Linked DNA regions of Lytechinus pictus. The main gene of each other region encodes a partner of the protein of the gene in region 2 in a complex. Links are inferred from orthologs where the notes say so. Each region holds a gene or a part of one and is shown on either strand. Other genes may lie near its edges.

What was found.
Region 1: small nuclear ribonucleoprotein Sm D1-like (region 2) and small nuclear ribonucleoprotein G-like share a complex: the UniProt entries of both Homo sapiens proteins name them as parts of the SMN-Sm complex. The link is inferred for Lytechinus pictus from reciprocal best matches to the Homo sapiens genes SNRPD1 and SNRPG.

What each region holds. Positions count from the first base shown.
Region 1 is NC_087256.1:12,709,296-12,716,826, forward strand, and holds the start of small nuclear ribonucleoprotein G-like, read left to right. Parts: upstream 1-4,531; 5' UTR 4,532-4,668; coding exon 4,669-4,700; intron 4,701-7,531. UniProt on the Homo sapiens protein: Plays a role in pre-mRNA splicing as a core component of the spliceosomal U1, U2, U4 and U5 small nuclear ribonucleoproteins (snRNPs), the building blocks of the spliceosome.
Region 2 is NC_087246.1:62,605,838-62,613,579, reverse strand, and holds the start of small nuclear ribonucleoprotein Sm D1-like, read right to left. Parts: upstream 3,006-7,742; 5' UTR 2,763-3,005; coding exon 2,749-2,762; intron 1-2,748. Other genes in the region: coiled-coil domain-containing protein 113-like, read right to left, coding at 7,090-7,170. UniProt on the Homo sapiens protein: Plays a role in pre-mRNA splicing as a core component of the spliceosomal U1, U2, U4 and U5 small nuclear ribonucleoproteins (snRNPs), the building blocks of the spliceosome.

The sequences.
Region 1 (7,531 bases), on a different chromosome or scaffold from region 2:
CATTTATGTTTGGTGGGCATTATGATCTATTATTTGGAATTAGTACTCCATATTCAGTGTCAATACGCGTTTTTTGGGGTCACGCATGTGTACAGCAGTTGACTGCCCCCCTGGGCAAACATATAACACTTAAAATTTCATCAAATCGGATGTAAAATAAGTAAGTTATGACATTCAAAACTTTCGCTTGGCACAAAATAGTTATATGTAAATGAGGCCCGGAAATGAGGGGACTGATGACATCACGGTCCACTCACTTTAATTATTTTTTTTGTATTTCAATAGGGCCTATATGAAATGTATAATATTATTCTCATCATCCGTTGCGAAACAATGTTTAATCCTCTCGTTAACATTAATTGTGGTTCAGTCAAGTTGGTCCTTATTGTCAAATCTGTAAAAAAAAATTGATTGAAATATTGTACAATAAACAATATAAAAATAAAAGAAATGGTGAGCGAGGGCAGTGGCGTACCGTGGGTCACGACATTGGGGGGGGGGGCACCAGCAAACAAAATGGCTAGGTATACTGACCTAGGACATTTTAAGGACAGTGCCATTAAATGGATATGTATGTCACTGATCAAATAATGCGAGCGCGAAGCGCGAGCTGAAATTTTTTGATATTCAGACCTAATAAGGGACATAAAAAAACAAATTTTTGTAATCATGATACGTACCTGTCTCGCTAAACAAACAATGCGAGCGCGAAGCATGGGCCGAAATTTTTGTATATATTGACACCAAACAGGGATATTCTAAGGATTATCTTTTTAAGGAATCCATTAAGAGGATATATATCTCACCATAGTCATCTATTGCGAGTGCCAATCGCCTGCTGATTTGTTAGAATTACATTTAAACACACGAAGCACTTTTTGTAGTCATTGTAATCATGATTATCATACGCATCCCACTTATCAAATATTGCGAGCGCGAAGACCGAACTGAATATTTAGGAAATGCAGACCTGAGGAGGTGCATTCTAAAGCCCCAGTCACATATAGACCCCGGACCACCCCGGACCATCCCGGATCTGATCCGGGGTGGTCCGGGGAGAGATCCGTGTTGGCGCCTTGGGCATCCTTGGAGGTCCGGGGTGGTCCGTGTTGGTCCTTGAACGTCCGGGAGGCCAACACGGCAGTTTTTGACTGTCAAAAACATCCGGCGTCATCCGTGGACTGCCGGGTTGGCAAAGCCATCCGGGATGGTCCGTGTAGCTGCCGTGTAGGTCCGTGTGGCTGCCGTGTAGGTCCGTGTAGCTGCCGTGTAAGTCCGTGTGGCTGCCTGGAGTATCCTTGGCAGTCCGTGTTCTTTTTTCCCATCAAATATTTACAACGCTATTTACTTTATGAACTTCAGTAGTTGTTAAACAGTTGACACAAACATGCTCAATTTATTTATGATTAAATGGATGATTAAATGATTCAGGATATTTTCTTACGCTTTGGATATTGGCCCCAACCTAATATTTGTAAACTTAGTGCATGTATGAATATTTTTTTTTCTCTCTTTTTTTTCTAATATTTACCCCAACTTTGTCTGTTATTATTATTTCACATTTCATTTTTTTAAAATATGTTATATGTATATAATTTATGTAATGTACCTGTTACATCGAAATTGTACATTAAGTGTTATACTACTGCCCTGCATCGACAGTTATGCGTCATGACCTGGGCCTATCTTAATTTTTATTATGTTTTCTATTGACTTTGTAAATTTCTTTCCTTTATTGTGATTTCAATAAAGTGATATCAAATCAAATCGAAATTAAATTTGTCGTTCAAGATTTAAAGTACTTAACAACTACTTTTAAAACAGTAAACTGTGTTGTATAAAAAAAACAGCGTTTTTACTGGTTACGGAAGTTTTGAGTTTTGATATATTTTTAAAAAACAACATAATATAATGTTGCGACAAGGATGAGAAAAAAATAAATAAATAGATAAATAAATAAATAAAAAATTAAATAAATAAATATCAGCTCATTATTATGAACAGATTTTCATTTGCCGTGCTGGTCAATATAGCTGCCGTGTTTGTCCTTGAGCTGACGTGTTGGTCCGTGTAGCTGACGTGTTGGTCCGTGTAGCTGACGTGATGGTCCGTGTTGCTGACGCGTTGGTCCGTGTTGGTCCTTGTAGCTGACGTGTTGGTCCGTGTTGCTGACGTGTTGGTCCGTGTAGCTGACGTGATGGTCCGTGTTGCTGACGTGTTGGTCCGTGTTGCTGACGTGTTGGTCCGTGTAGCTGACGTGTAGGTCCGTGTTGCTGACGTGTCGGTCCGTGTTGACGACGTGCTCTGCCGGCATGGTCCGTGTAGATCCGTGTGAAGCTGCCGTGTTGATGCCGTGTTTACAGTCATCCGGGGCAAAGCTATCCCGGACCTCCCCGGATCATGCCGGCATTGCCGTGTTGATCCGTGTCTATATGTGACTGGGGCTTAAGGCTTGTTTGTAGGAATTTACTTATACCATACGTATTTCACTAACCGAATGATGCGAGCGCGAAGCCCGAGCTGAAACTTTTGATATTCAGATAAGGGACCTTTTAAGACCTTAAAATGGGGCAATTAATTTAAAAGGATGGTCCAGGCTGGAGATATTTATAACTCATATAATAGAGTAAATTCACAAAATGCTGAAAATTTGATCAAAATTTGATTACAAATAACAAAGTTGTTGAATTTCAAAGATTCGCAATATTCTGGTGAAGCAGTTCTAGGCATGCAATGCATGTCTTCATGAATATTCATTAGGTGGGTTGATGATGTCATATCCCCACTTGTTCTTTTGTATTTTATTATGTAAAATCAAGTTTATTAAAAAAAATTCTACCAAGAGCTAAAACAAGTGGATTGACAACTGATTAAGTGCATTAGTTTTTTATTGGTGCAGCTTCCTTCATCATAATGGAGACACATTTACACATCATCACATGTATGAAATTTCTTTTAAAAATTATGATTTCATGTAATAACATAAGAAAAGGGAAAGTGGGGATATGACATCATCATGACAATGTGCATATAATTGTTTTCACAATATATTGATAAACTTTAAAATTTAATAACTTTATTATTTGTTATCCGATTTTTATGAATTTTTTTTTTCCTTTGTGAATTTTACTCTATTTATTTAGATATAAATATTTTTAGCCCGGACTATCCCTTTAAGTAAGTAGTCATGAAAAAGAAATATATGTCACTACATAAAACAATAATAACTCGAAGTGCGAGGAAATAATATATGCGGTGTATATTGACTTGAAAAACTTGAACAGGATCATATATCTCGTTAAACAGACAATGCGAGCACCCGGAACAAGGAAGACATAGGCCCTGAGCGAATTATGTTTCATAAAGTTATAAAAAAATGTTTCTTATGTAATATAACATAACGTAGTTATTATTATAAATATAATGAACAATAATTTATTCTTTCCCGATACGTTTTTCTTCCTTTCTCCCTCTTTTTCTCCTTTTCCCCGTTTTTTTTTGCCAGCCGATTGGGGGGAGGGGGGCACGTGCCCCCATGCCCCCCCCCCCCCGTAGTTACGCCACTGAGCGAGGGACATCATAAAATCTTTTATTTGAATAGGAAATGTGCAAGAACTGTTTTCTGAAAAATAGGTGAATCTTCAACATGTCACAACTGTCTTATTTTATAACGGGTTCGATGAAATTTTCAGCGTTATGCTTTTTAATATTTTGTTTATTTATTCAAATCAATATTTTTCTTTGGTGGCGAACTTGACCTTTATTAAAAGTCCGTTTGAACATTGGCAAGGGATAATCTTGAGCCTATACTGACGCACACAAACAACCCAGCACAATGCGTTCTGAATCTGTGGTACGACTATTATGCTGTTCTTTACTCATCTTCCGCACATTGTACAAAATAATTAATTCGAAAATATACCTGGCATCAAAATATTAAATTGAACAGAGCAGGGGCGGATCCAGGATTTTCCAAAGAGGGGCACATTTTCCCGAGGAAAAATTTGACAAGCAAAAAAAAAAAAAAGGATTTCAACCAAAATTCAAGGATATTTCGTCCACGAAAATTTTTGACAAGCAAGAAAAAAAAATTAATTTTTTTTTTCAACCATATAGAACATTTCGTCCACGGTCTTCACTTTTAAGGGGGGTGGGGCACACTTGTGTTTTAATAGCATCTTTAAATTACAAATTTTAATTGTGCCTCTCGAAAGGGGGGGGGCGCACGGGTCGGCTGTGCCCCCCCCCCGGATCCGCCAGAGGAACAGAGACCCTGAGAGAGAGAGAAAGAGAGATAGGCCTAATTGACAACCATCTTCTTCTTATGTTGGTTTGAGTGGCGAGTGTGTGTGTGTATTTGAGTTTTGTCAGACGTGTATCAATCAGATATGATTATTTACGTCTGGGACCGACCTTTAACGTCACTATCCGAAAGACGTGACCAGGGCTCGAACCTCGAACCTCTGCATCAATTTGTAACTTCCCCACAGCTTGGATTACAGGCGCACGCCACAACGCCTAGTGGTTGATTGCCGATACCATACAACGAAAGAAAAAAAAATAGTCTTTTGACTTCACAAATTCGGATCGTTTCTGCTTCGCCTTTTCGGAACCCAAACTGAATCTGATTTAAATCTTCAGAAATCTTTGCGATCTTCTCACCAAATCATGAGTAAAGCACATCCACCAGAACTCAAGAAGTATGTTTATATAATTTCTCGTTTTCAAGGAGTATATTGAAGGATAGCCCATTGTGTTGACTGTTAAATCTTTGCGCTAGGATAGCTGCTTCAGAATTAGCGTTTGGCGAATTTATGTGCGCTTGCCTTGATGATTATTTAGATTGGAAATATTTTGTAATATAATTGCATGGAATAATCCTTATAAATAGTGGTAGAGTCTAGATGCTACTCCGAAATGTGTTCCCATTCGTTTTTTGTGTTATGAATGTGATGTTTTCTTCCTTTTTCACACTACGCGTCTTGATCATGTGGGGCATCATTTGCATTTTTGATGGAGTTGACGGAAAGTCCCATTCATTTATTTTGATGTGGTGCGATGGGTAACGCGCGTGCAGTAGGAGGGGGTCCATTGACATTGTGATTGTCCGGACATTGGCGCTAATTGCAGTTTCGCAGCTTTCTCCACACAAGTTACTAGAAATCCCAGAAATTTGACATGTGGCTGTGAAGATGTGCTAGCACCAATGCAATGGAGCATGCCAGTCAATCATCAATGACAATGTAAACATGTTGATTCAAATTAAAAACAAGTCAAGTCAGAAAACTTGGATAAATGGCAAGTCATTATGCATTTATGGATGGTCGGGACTCAGGGTGACCAGATTTCACAAAATGATATATGGGACAATCGACAGCATGCTGCACGAGCGGATCAACAAAGAAGGCTACACATTGTTAGACTTGTGAAAAAATATTTAGAATTGGAAGGGAGGGTGAACAAAAGAATGAAGGAGAGAAAGTAAAGACGAACGAAAAGAGATGAATTCAGAAGAAAGAAAGAAAACAATGAAGGGAAATGAAAAAAATAAAAAGAAAGTTAGAATAAAAGAGAAAAAAGGTTTCCGTCATTCTTTGAAACGAATATAGAAAGAAAAAAAAAGGAAGGGAAGATGAATAAATGTGTGAAAGACAAAATAAAGGAGAGAAAGGAAAAAAGAAAGTAAGATAAAAGGAGGAGGAAAGAATGAAGAAAAACAGGAATGGAGGGAAAGAAAGAATGAGGGAAAAGAATTAGAAGGAAAGGAAAAAAATAAAATAAAGAATGAAAGAGAGGGAGGAGAGAATGAAAATAATAATGCAGGCCTCTACAAAAAAAAATTCATCACTTGCCCTGTCGGGCAAGTGATAAAAAAATTTGCTTGCTCGATAGAAAAAACTGCTTGCCCGATTTTTTTTCAAAAATTCTTTTGCTCTTAATTATTCTTTTCTGTCCTGGCTGAACTTGATTTACTGGCGCTGCCCTTGGCATTTCTTTTTCTTGTTCAAGTTGTTCTGGCCTTCATTCTTGGAAAGAAAGAAGAAAACAGGAAGGAAGGAAGAAAGGGAAAAAGTATAAGGGAAAAGAATAAGGACAAAATGAAATAAATAATGAAAGAAAGAAAGGAGGAAAGAGAGGGAGGAAAGAATGAAGGGAGGCCAGAATGAAAAAAAAGAAAATAACGGAAGGAGAGATAGAACGAAAATAAAAACGAGTGGAAGGGAGAAGAAATGAAGGAAATAAAAAAAGGAAATGCAATAAAGAAGGCAAGTAAGAGAAAGAAGGAAAGAAAGAAAATGAACAGAGAGAGAGAGGGAGAAAGGATCAGGAAATAAAAATAGATATGTAACAAAAAAGGGCAAGAAGGATAGAAAAGAAAGAAAGAGGAAAAAGTTCAAACTTCAAGCAATTAAAAACAATCCAATCATATAACAAAAATCCTAATGATATTTGGTGTTTCTTTTATATATAAAAAAAAAAAAAAAAACTAAAATGTTTTAGAAATGAATAAAATACGGGACGTCTGGTCCTGGCCGAGTCAGTCCGAAGCTTGCATGCATTCAGCGCGATCTAGCTCGAGACTCGGCTGGCTCGATCGCGATCGCTCGTGTACGTCCGTACATGCGCTCAGAGGGCGAGAGAGGGGTTTCCCCAGCTAGCTCCTTCGTCGATTAGTAGCGCATGCGCACATTGTAGTTTAGAAAGTAAGATGGCAGCCTCCATCGAACGGGACGCGTACCGCTGGCGATAAATTGTCGCCTTTTGTTGGTAAATTGGCGCTGATTTGACATGTTTCCACTGTTTTTTTACTGGTATGACATTGTATGAGAGATAATTGGCCGATAATTGCAATTTATCAAAAAATTATTAAACTTTACTGTCAATTTATCTTGTTCATTTTCAAAACAACCACTTGCCCGATCGGGCAATTGACTTTGAGAAATGCTTGCCCGCACGTCATTTTCACTTGCCCCGGGCAAGCGGGTTTGTCGCGCCCTGATAATGGAAGGAGAGAAAGAACAAAAAGAAAAGGGAGAAGGAAGCAAAGAAAAGTTTAAGGAAAGGAAGAATGAAGGAAATAAAAAAATAAATTTTGAAAAAGAAGGAAAGTAAGAGAAAGTGGGAAATAAAGAAAAATGAACACAGAGCTAGAGAAAGGATCAGAGAAGAAAGATAGGAAATAAAGATAGATGGAGCAGAAAAAGGGCAAGCAGGAAGGATAGAAGAATGAAGAAAGAAAGATATAAAAGAAAGAGGAAAAGTTCAAACTTCAAGCAAACAAAAAAATCCAATTGTCTAACAAAAATCATAATGATATTTGGTGTTTTTTAAATATATTTTTAAAAGCTTAAAAAAATAAAATGTAATAGAAATGAATAAAATTTCAAAGTGAAACATTGTCAAACTTAAAAATATACATCATACACAGGCATCTCTCATCCCATTACAAGTTGCACCGATCACAACAAGACTCAAAACCAAAGCTGAAACAACTAGATCTAGTTATGAAAACTCAATAACTTGTTCCTCC
Region 2 (7,742 bases):
TGAAAACGGGTTTCCCCGAATTCCCGCCCTTGGAATGACTGTGTACCATGTGCGTGACCTGTTAACCTGTTGTATGAATGCGAATCAGCTGGTTTCGTGACCTCAAATATTCTTCATGTTGTTTACGCTGGATGGGGGCTATAAAAAGATCTTTCTGACTCTTTTTTTTTTTCAATTTTAATAATCTGTTCGTGAATTTCTGTAACATAACTGATGCAATTTATTGAATCACGTACCTCGATCTTCCCACTCATGATGAAAGAAAATATTTAAAAAATTTAAAATCGCCAAAATATACATGTAAAGAAAGATTATTCAGCCGTCATCATCAGTAGTAGTATAGACATGTCTATAAATATGCATTCGCTTCGAATATTGACTTCTTCACCAATCCCACACACACGCACGATCTCAACATCCCCTTGTCATTGTCCACGCCACGACCCCTCCCCTTTCGCGCTCCCCCTTCGACCATCCTAGCTACAACCCTCCCCCCCCCTCTTCCTCTCTTTCACACACGCTGTATTTGTAGGCCTACATAGTGCATTATTTAAAAATACAAATCTGCTTTCCTGTCAATTAAGCTTTACTTTCAAAACATTTTAAATCACAATTAATTATAATAAGAACAAAATCGTAATATTAAAGTATGATGAATGACTAAAAATATTTCTCCCGCTCGTGATGGACACATTCATTATTTTATAGGCGAGTATAGAACAATACAAATGAACATATAGGAATAATTGACAGTGAGTATAAATCTACTTTCCTGTCAATTAAGCTTTACTTTTAAAACATTTTAAATCGCAATTAATTATAATAAGAACAAAATCGTAATATTAAAGTATGATGAATGACTAAAAATATTTCTCCCGCTCGTGATGGACACATTCATTATTTTATAGGCGAGTATAGAACAATACAAATGAACATAGCAATAATTGACAGTGATAAACGAATCTTGATTGGATATTATTAGTATAAACATCATCAGCAGAAGTCTTAATTATGAGAGTCATAGTTTCAGTGAGTATCTGAAAACAAAACAAACATGCAAATTATATCGTCTCATGAATACCGATGCCCATTATTTGGAAGCCTCGGAAGTTTTCTTCCGAGGCTTCCAAACAAAGTCGGAACAATCTTTGGATTGAGTAAGGGCGTGGCGCGGCGCGCATGCGGTCCGTAGATGTAGTCGGTCATTGACACGCATTCACAAAATGAATCGCACTTTCTAAGGACGTAGCGATCTAGACATTGGAAAGTATGGAGTACGTTATCGATGTCATTGATGTGAATAAATCTATAAACTGTAAGTATAAAATGAGATTGAATTTAAATCTTTTCTTTTGACCTTTTTCATCAGTACTTGCCTTTCTGCTTCAATCGATCGCAATTCGCGCAACCGTTACGGCTGTGTGGCCGGAGAAGCATTAAATAGACATCAAATGTGGTGCATTTAGCAGCAATCTAAGCTCGTCGATATTGATATTTTCGATAGCTACCGCGCTCCGCGCGGGAGGGGGGACACCCCCCTCCCGCGACCCTCCCCCCCCGTGTAGTAGTAATAGTAGCTGCGCGGCTTGCGTATCATCGCTTCGCGCCGCCAAGCGTCAGAATGAACCTGGCGAGAACGTTGACCTTACGTTAGTAAATGATTTTTACTCTCAAAAAAGAAGCCGCCTGGCTACGTGCACCTCTAAGTCTAACTATTAGTATTACTGTATTAATTTATTATCAGTATCATTAATGATCAGCAGTAGAGGCGCACGGCCAATATGGGAGACTCTCTCCAATAGGGGAGACAATCTCCCACATTGGAGACTTGCTTTGCAAAAGGACAAAAGAAACAACACCAACAAAAGCATGATTTTTTCCACCCAAAATTTTGTCTCACTGAGGTCAGAAGCCCATTTGTTTTGTGTGTGATTGACAACAAAAATCCTTATCAAAACAAAAGTAGATGGTGAATTTTTAAAGTAGACGGTGAAAAGGGGTAATTTCTCATGAGGAATCTGCTTATCACATTTTTATTTGCCGCCAAGGTAATCCTTTTGCAGCAAATGTAAACAAAGGAAATTGGTCTCCAAAACTGGAGACTGTCTCTGAAATTGGATACCCAAATTCTTTACAAAAGTCTCTGATATTGGAGATAATCTCCCACATTGGAGACAGTCTCCAATATTGGCCGTGCGCCTCTACTGATCAGAATCGCAATGCATTATTATGGGATCGCAAAGGGGGCCGTTGCTCTCCAGCCCCCTTTCCGATCCCATTATGCATTGCGGTTCTGATAAGCGATAAACCATATTCGGAAACACTAGTCTACAGACGGTGCAGCCGTTTTGTCGTGACACAATTGTGACAAGTCGATATTAATCATATTAAAATATTATTATTAATAAAACATTGTAAAATATCGACAATAACGTTCGATGACACTTCATGAAACATCCTGGTATCTATCAGTAGATCTACATTTATTCCAAATTATACCAATATTGTACAAATATTCATCACTACTGACAAGGGCGAGCCCCGGTATTTAGCTTGCTAAAATGCAAGGGCTTCCATCCAACCTATCTTCACTACTTCAGTCCCACTCGTTCATTTTCATGGGTGTCATATAAACCGACATGTAATGTGAAAATAAACCATAAACCATACAAGTAAGATTAAGACTTTCATGATGCAGGTCAAATAGATCCATCAATTAATAATTATTGAATAAAAATTGATAATTACCTGACTAGCTTCATGATGATGTCGGATTGCGATCAGCATCCGACGATAAAAATTGGACGTTCAATCGACGCGCGTGTACCAAAACAATGGACTGTGGCTGACGCAGATGGCAGCAAACCAAGTCATGCATGCAGATGTCGCGCCCGCCGCGCCAGCGTCAATTTAGCCAAGTTAAAATTGCCCCAAGAAAAATCATTTCACTGGCATTTCCCGGTGGCATTTACTTGGAAGTGAATTACCGCTGACAGCCTGATCACGATTTAAAACTCCTGTTATGAAACAGGAACGGAAACTTAACATTTAAATTTTGATAGATTTAGCTATTTAGAATCTAATGATGTTATCTTTATTGCATTTATTTTTTCCATTTCCTTCAATAAAGTAATGATCTAGGAGCTAGGAGTTAACACTTGATCAAGGGAGGGGGAGTACTGCCCTTTAAAAATGGGATAAGATTGAAACCTTTGTGTTATGTTCTTTTTTATTGATGTATAGTATAGTGTTTGTAAATATATTTGGCGAGAGGGGGGGAAGGGGTGCAAGGGTGGATATTGGCTTAAGGTTTTACTTATATTCATTCTTCGAACGGATTTTTATCTCAAAGAATCAGAATATAATTTGTTTTACCTGATCCAAGACAAAGCCCCCACTTAATAGGGAGAGGATTGCATTTGATGGGACAGTGCCGCTGGTAACGAAGCCAAATAAAGAATTGAAAAAACTTTCAGAAAAATATGTATATAATTATCTGAATTAAAGAAATAAAGAAGGGACATGGAAACAAGAAATTAAGAGACAGAGACCGAAGGGAAAAGGGTAGGTGGGGGAGAAGGCACTGCAAAAGAGAGAATCCATGCATCCCCATCTTTCTCTCTCCCCAACTCTCTCTCTCCCTCTGTCCCTTCCCTTTCTATTTGAATTACTCTCACTCGTTTACACTTTATATTCTTTTCCAAAGGAGAATATTTGACTAGTCACATGACACATGTCATCTCTCTTCCATGCTCTTGTCTTTCTCCCGGGCTTTCTCCCTTTCTTTTTCTTTTCCCCATTACTTTTAGAAGTCACAGGGGCAGACACTCCTTGTAGCACTGTCCCTGCTACTGATCGAATATACAGCATCTCATTCAATTTAGTTTGTCAACTTCAAACATTCATTTTTTTTCATTCTCATTTTATCTTGTTCCTTGTTTTTTTTTTTTTTTTTTGGGGGGGGGGTGGGGGAGGGTAGTCTCTGAAATAGAAATAAGCAGTTTCTCTTGTCAGTTAACAAATATTTTATTTTCAGTAAACAGTATATCGAGTAAGAAACAATAATATAAAGATTTTTAAATCTGAAATATCTAAATAATACTTAGTTGCTTTTTATCTATGTTTTATGTTATCTCTATGAGTGGAAATAACTTGAAATTTAAATCTAAAATAAGGCGAAACATACATTGAATAGTATAAACAAAGGAGGTAATGCATATTTTCATTTATAATTTATATACACATGTTCTCATCTGTAGTGTAGGCACATTATCAAAATGCCACAAATGATCAATAATTCATAGAACATTATTTTATATATAATATATATAAATACTGGTTTTGCAACAATTTTTCTTCTTCAAAATAAACATTTACTCACAATATGTTGGAAATGATGATCTAATCAAGGTGATCTTTCTCTTTAAAAGTCAAGTCCAACCCAAGAAGTAAACAAAAACACTAAAAATTGTAGTAGAGAAGGATAAAAACAAGCATAATGTTCAAAATTTCACACGTGTTGTGCACATCAACTACTTTGAGAAAATAAGCGAAACTTTGAAAGGTTATATCCTTATTTCGACACCCAATTCTTCATAAAAAATTCTGATGAAATTTCCAGCATTATACTTGCTTGTTTTTTTTTTCCTTTTTTTAAAATCAATTTCTAGTTGAGGAGGACTTGACCTTTCAGAAGATTGATTTTGGACGGAGTATTTTATGACTCTTTCAACATGTGAGTCGATGCACGAAGTAATGGACAAGTCTAATTCCAAATGCTTACTTTCCCCAAAATATAAATATTTTCATAAAATGTAAATTGAAGTTGCATCAGAATCTACAATCATCGAAAATATGTTGCAATACATGTATAGCAGGGATGTACTTGTATCATGAATGAAAAAAATAAGAGAATTAAAATGCAATTAGCAGATATTATGAGCATCATAAATGCATATGCATTTTATTATTTCTGAATTATTGTTATATTGCTGGTTCACCATCATTTATTATATGTTAGGAACATCACAGACGTGGTCGTTATTTCAATAATATGGAGTAGTACTTTTCTCTTTCAGATGAATGCTAAAGGCATTTTCATGAAAGTCAGACCTGCACCTTTCACACAGGAGTGCTGCAAGCTTCTTTTCATTGCTGATCATCACATTCATAATACACAATATAAACCTTACGTGTGTCTTTCATTGAATAACAAAAACATTTCATACTTCTGTGCTTCTTTCTACATTTGTTTTCATCACAGTGAATTTCTGCTCTCTACTTCAAATGAATATACAATGAATAAAGTTTACAGAGAGGGAAAACATCATGGCTATGCTGCCGTACTTTGGCAAAATTAAGCAAGTTACAAAAGTATCATTTGGTGTAAATGAGCAATGTGTATTAGTCATTTACATAGGCGTCAATGCAATTTAACAGCATGTTTTCTTCAATATTTTTCCATAGAACGATAATTTCTTCCCCATATTTTGCCTGAACGTGCAACATACAAAGGGTGTTTCAGAAACAACAATAACTCAAATTTGACTGATGTGTCACTTGCTTCCTTTTGCCAAAGTTGGTCAGTACAGCTCGATCAATCGAGATAATGAAAGCTATTGGAAATTGAAGATGTTTCCCTTCCATCTTTAATACTGGAATGACAACCTGGTTGCCTTGCTGTAATGCACAGAAAAGTATTATTGTTTCTGTTTTCATAGTCACTGATAGATACTGAGGGAATTCATGCACATATCAAAATCCACTGTTTATGAATCCAGATCATTGTATAAAAAACAATGGAAACTCTTTATACACATGTACATGTTTTTGCAGTTCTAGATCTGGGGTGGTATTCTGGAACCATGTCATAAATTTTGTAATTTCTCTCCTGAGATGTGACACCGCTATGATTGTCACAAATCGGTATTCTGAACATTGTCCTTCCTCTGTCATTTTTCTCCCATATTCCCGCCCATCTTTTCGGAAGCAAACCAATCAAAATCACTGTTAGTTCCGAGTGGGAGCCCTTCTAACCAACAGGAAGGCCCGGTGGCACATCCTTGATATATAGCTGGCATCGCGTGACTGCGCGTATATTGACACGCTTAATTACAAATAAAAACAGGGAGCTGTGAAGGATTATTAGAAGAGAGATTTTTTAAAAAGAGGAAAACATAAAAAAGGAGGAATTAATATGTAGGGCCCAACTACTTGTAACATGAAAAAACATTTTTGAAAATAGTCATGGATGACGAGTGGAACTAAAACAACAATCCAACCTAAATATTTAGTCGGCAGGTTATCGGGATATTATGGTACCAAACGAAATCACAAAATTAATGACTACTAGGCTTTGTCATAAATGTTGTCATATCTTTTGCTTGTATATTGGGATTATGCGCATTCATGAACTGTGTATTTTTTTAGCGTGATAAAGAGAAGATGTAAAATTCAAGACAGTTTTAATGACAAAAGTTATGACATCCACCTGAATACAGATTCTGTCATATCTCTGAGAAAAGACAATGTTTAGAATACCCTCGGCCCCTAGCCTACAATGATGAACAATATAAATCTATTATATATACTATACATATTTTCACATTATTGTTCTTGTCCCCAATGAAGGATATAAACTTGTGGTACAGGTACAATTCATGCTGCAATAAGTATCAAGTCCAGGGTCCCGTAACACAAAGGTTAGCGATTAATTTTCACGATTGATTGTACATTGTAGTCAATGCAATCAATCGTAGAAAAATGTTCTACGATCATTGCTAACCTTGTGTTACGGGCCCCAGGTGAGCATTTCATGAAGCAAATAGTTATCATCACTGACTAATTTTTTATTTTTTCCTGAAATCCTTTCATCTGATTGGCTCAGAAAAATTTAGTCAGTGAAAATCACCGAGTACTTGCTTTATGAAACACTCCCCAGTTCCCAATTTGCGTCAACTGTCACACCTTGAATAGGAAAAGCGAAGCCAAGAACCAGGTATTAATTCCTCTGATCCTACCAGTTTAAAAGCATACAGGGGCATGTCATTATTCTAACAATAGTTCATAGGTTAGGGAATTGGAACAGATTTATGCAATGACACCCCACTGCTGGTGTTCACTGGACATTCTCATCTGTTGCCACGTCTTTCGATGCGTCTTCAAGGCCATCTACAAATAAAAGAAGGAAAGGACATATAGGAATAAAGAAAAGGTTCTATTAAAACAAATTTACATTAACCAATTGGGGCATTCCTGTTTCTAAATTGTATCACTTCATCTTGTAAACATCTATTTATTTTTTTTATCATGCAATACTTGAGCGGAATATTATTATCATATACTTTTTTTTATTATCAACCTGTAGTTCAATGTAGAAAGCAAAAAAATAAAAAAAGAAAAGATGGAAACAGATTGGAAAAAATTATGTTTTGTTCCATCAAGTTGAACATTCCTATTAAAAACTGTGATGAAAAGTTATCATCAGCCAATTGAGATCCAGTTGAAACTGTAAAAAAAAATGTCCCTCGACTAATGAAACTACACTCTATTCAAAGAAAAAAAATAACTAACATATCAAACACATAAAAATGTTTCGCAATTGGGTGCTGTTCAAAAAGCACCAATTTGCATCAGGCAAATAAATTTTCAATTTTTCTCGACATACTTCCTAAACCTGCAACATTGGAGAAGCTTTAACATTGCAAGGAATGGGGATTTTCCAGGATTTTTTTCTTATTTTC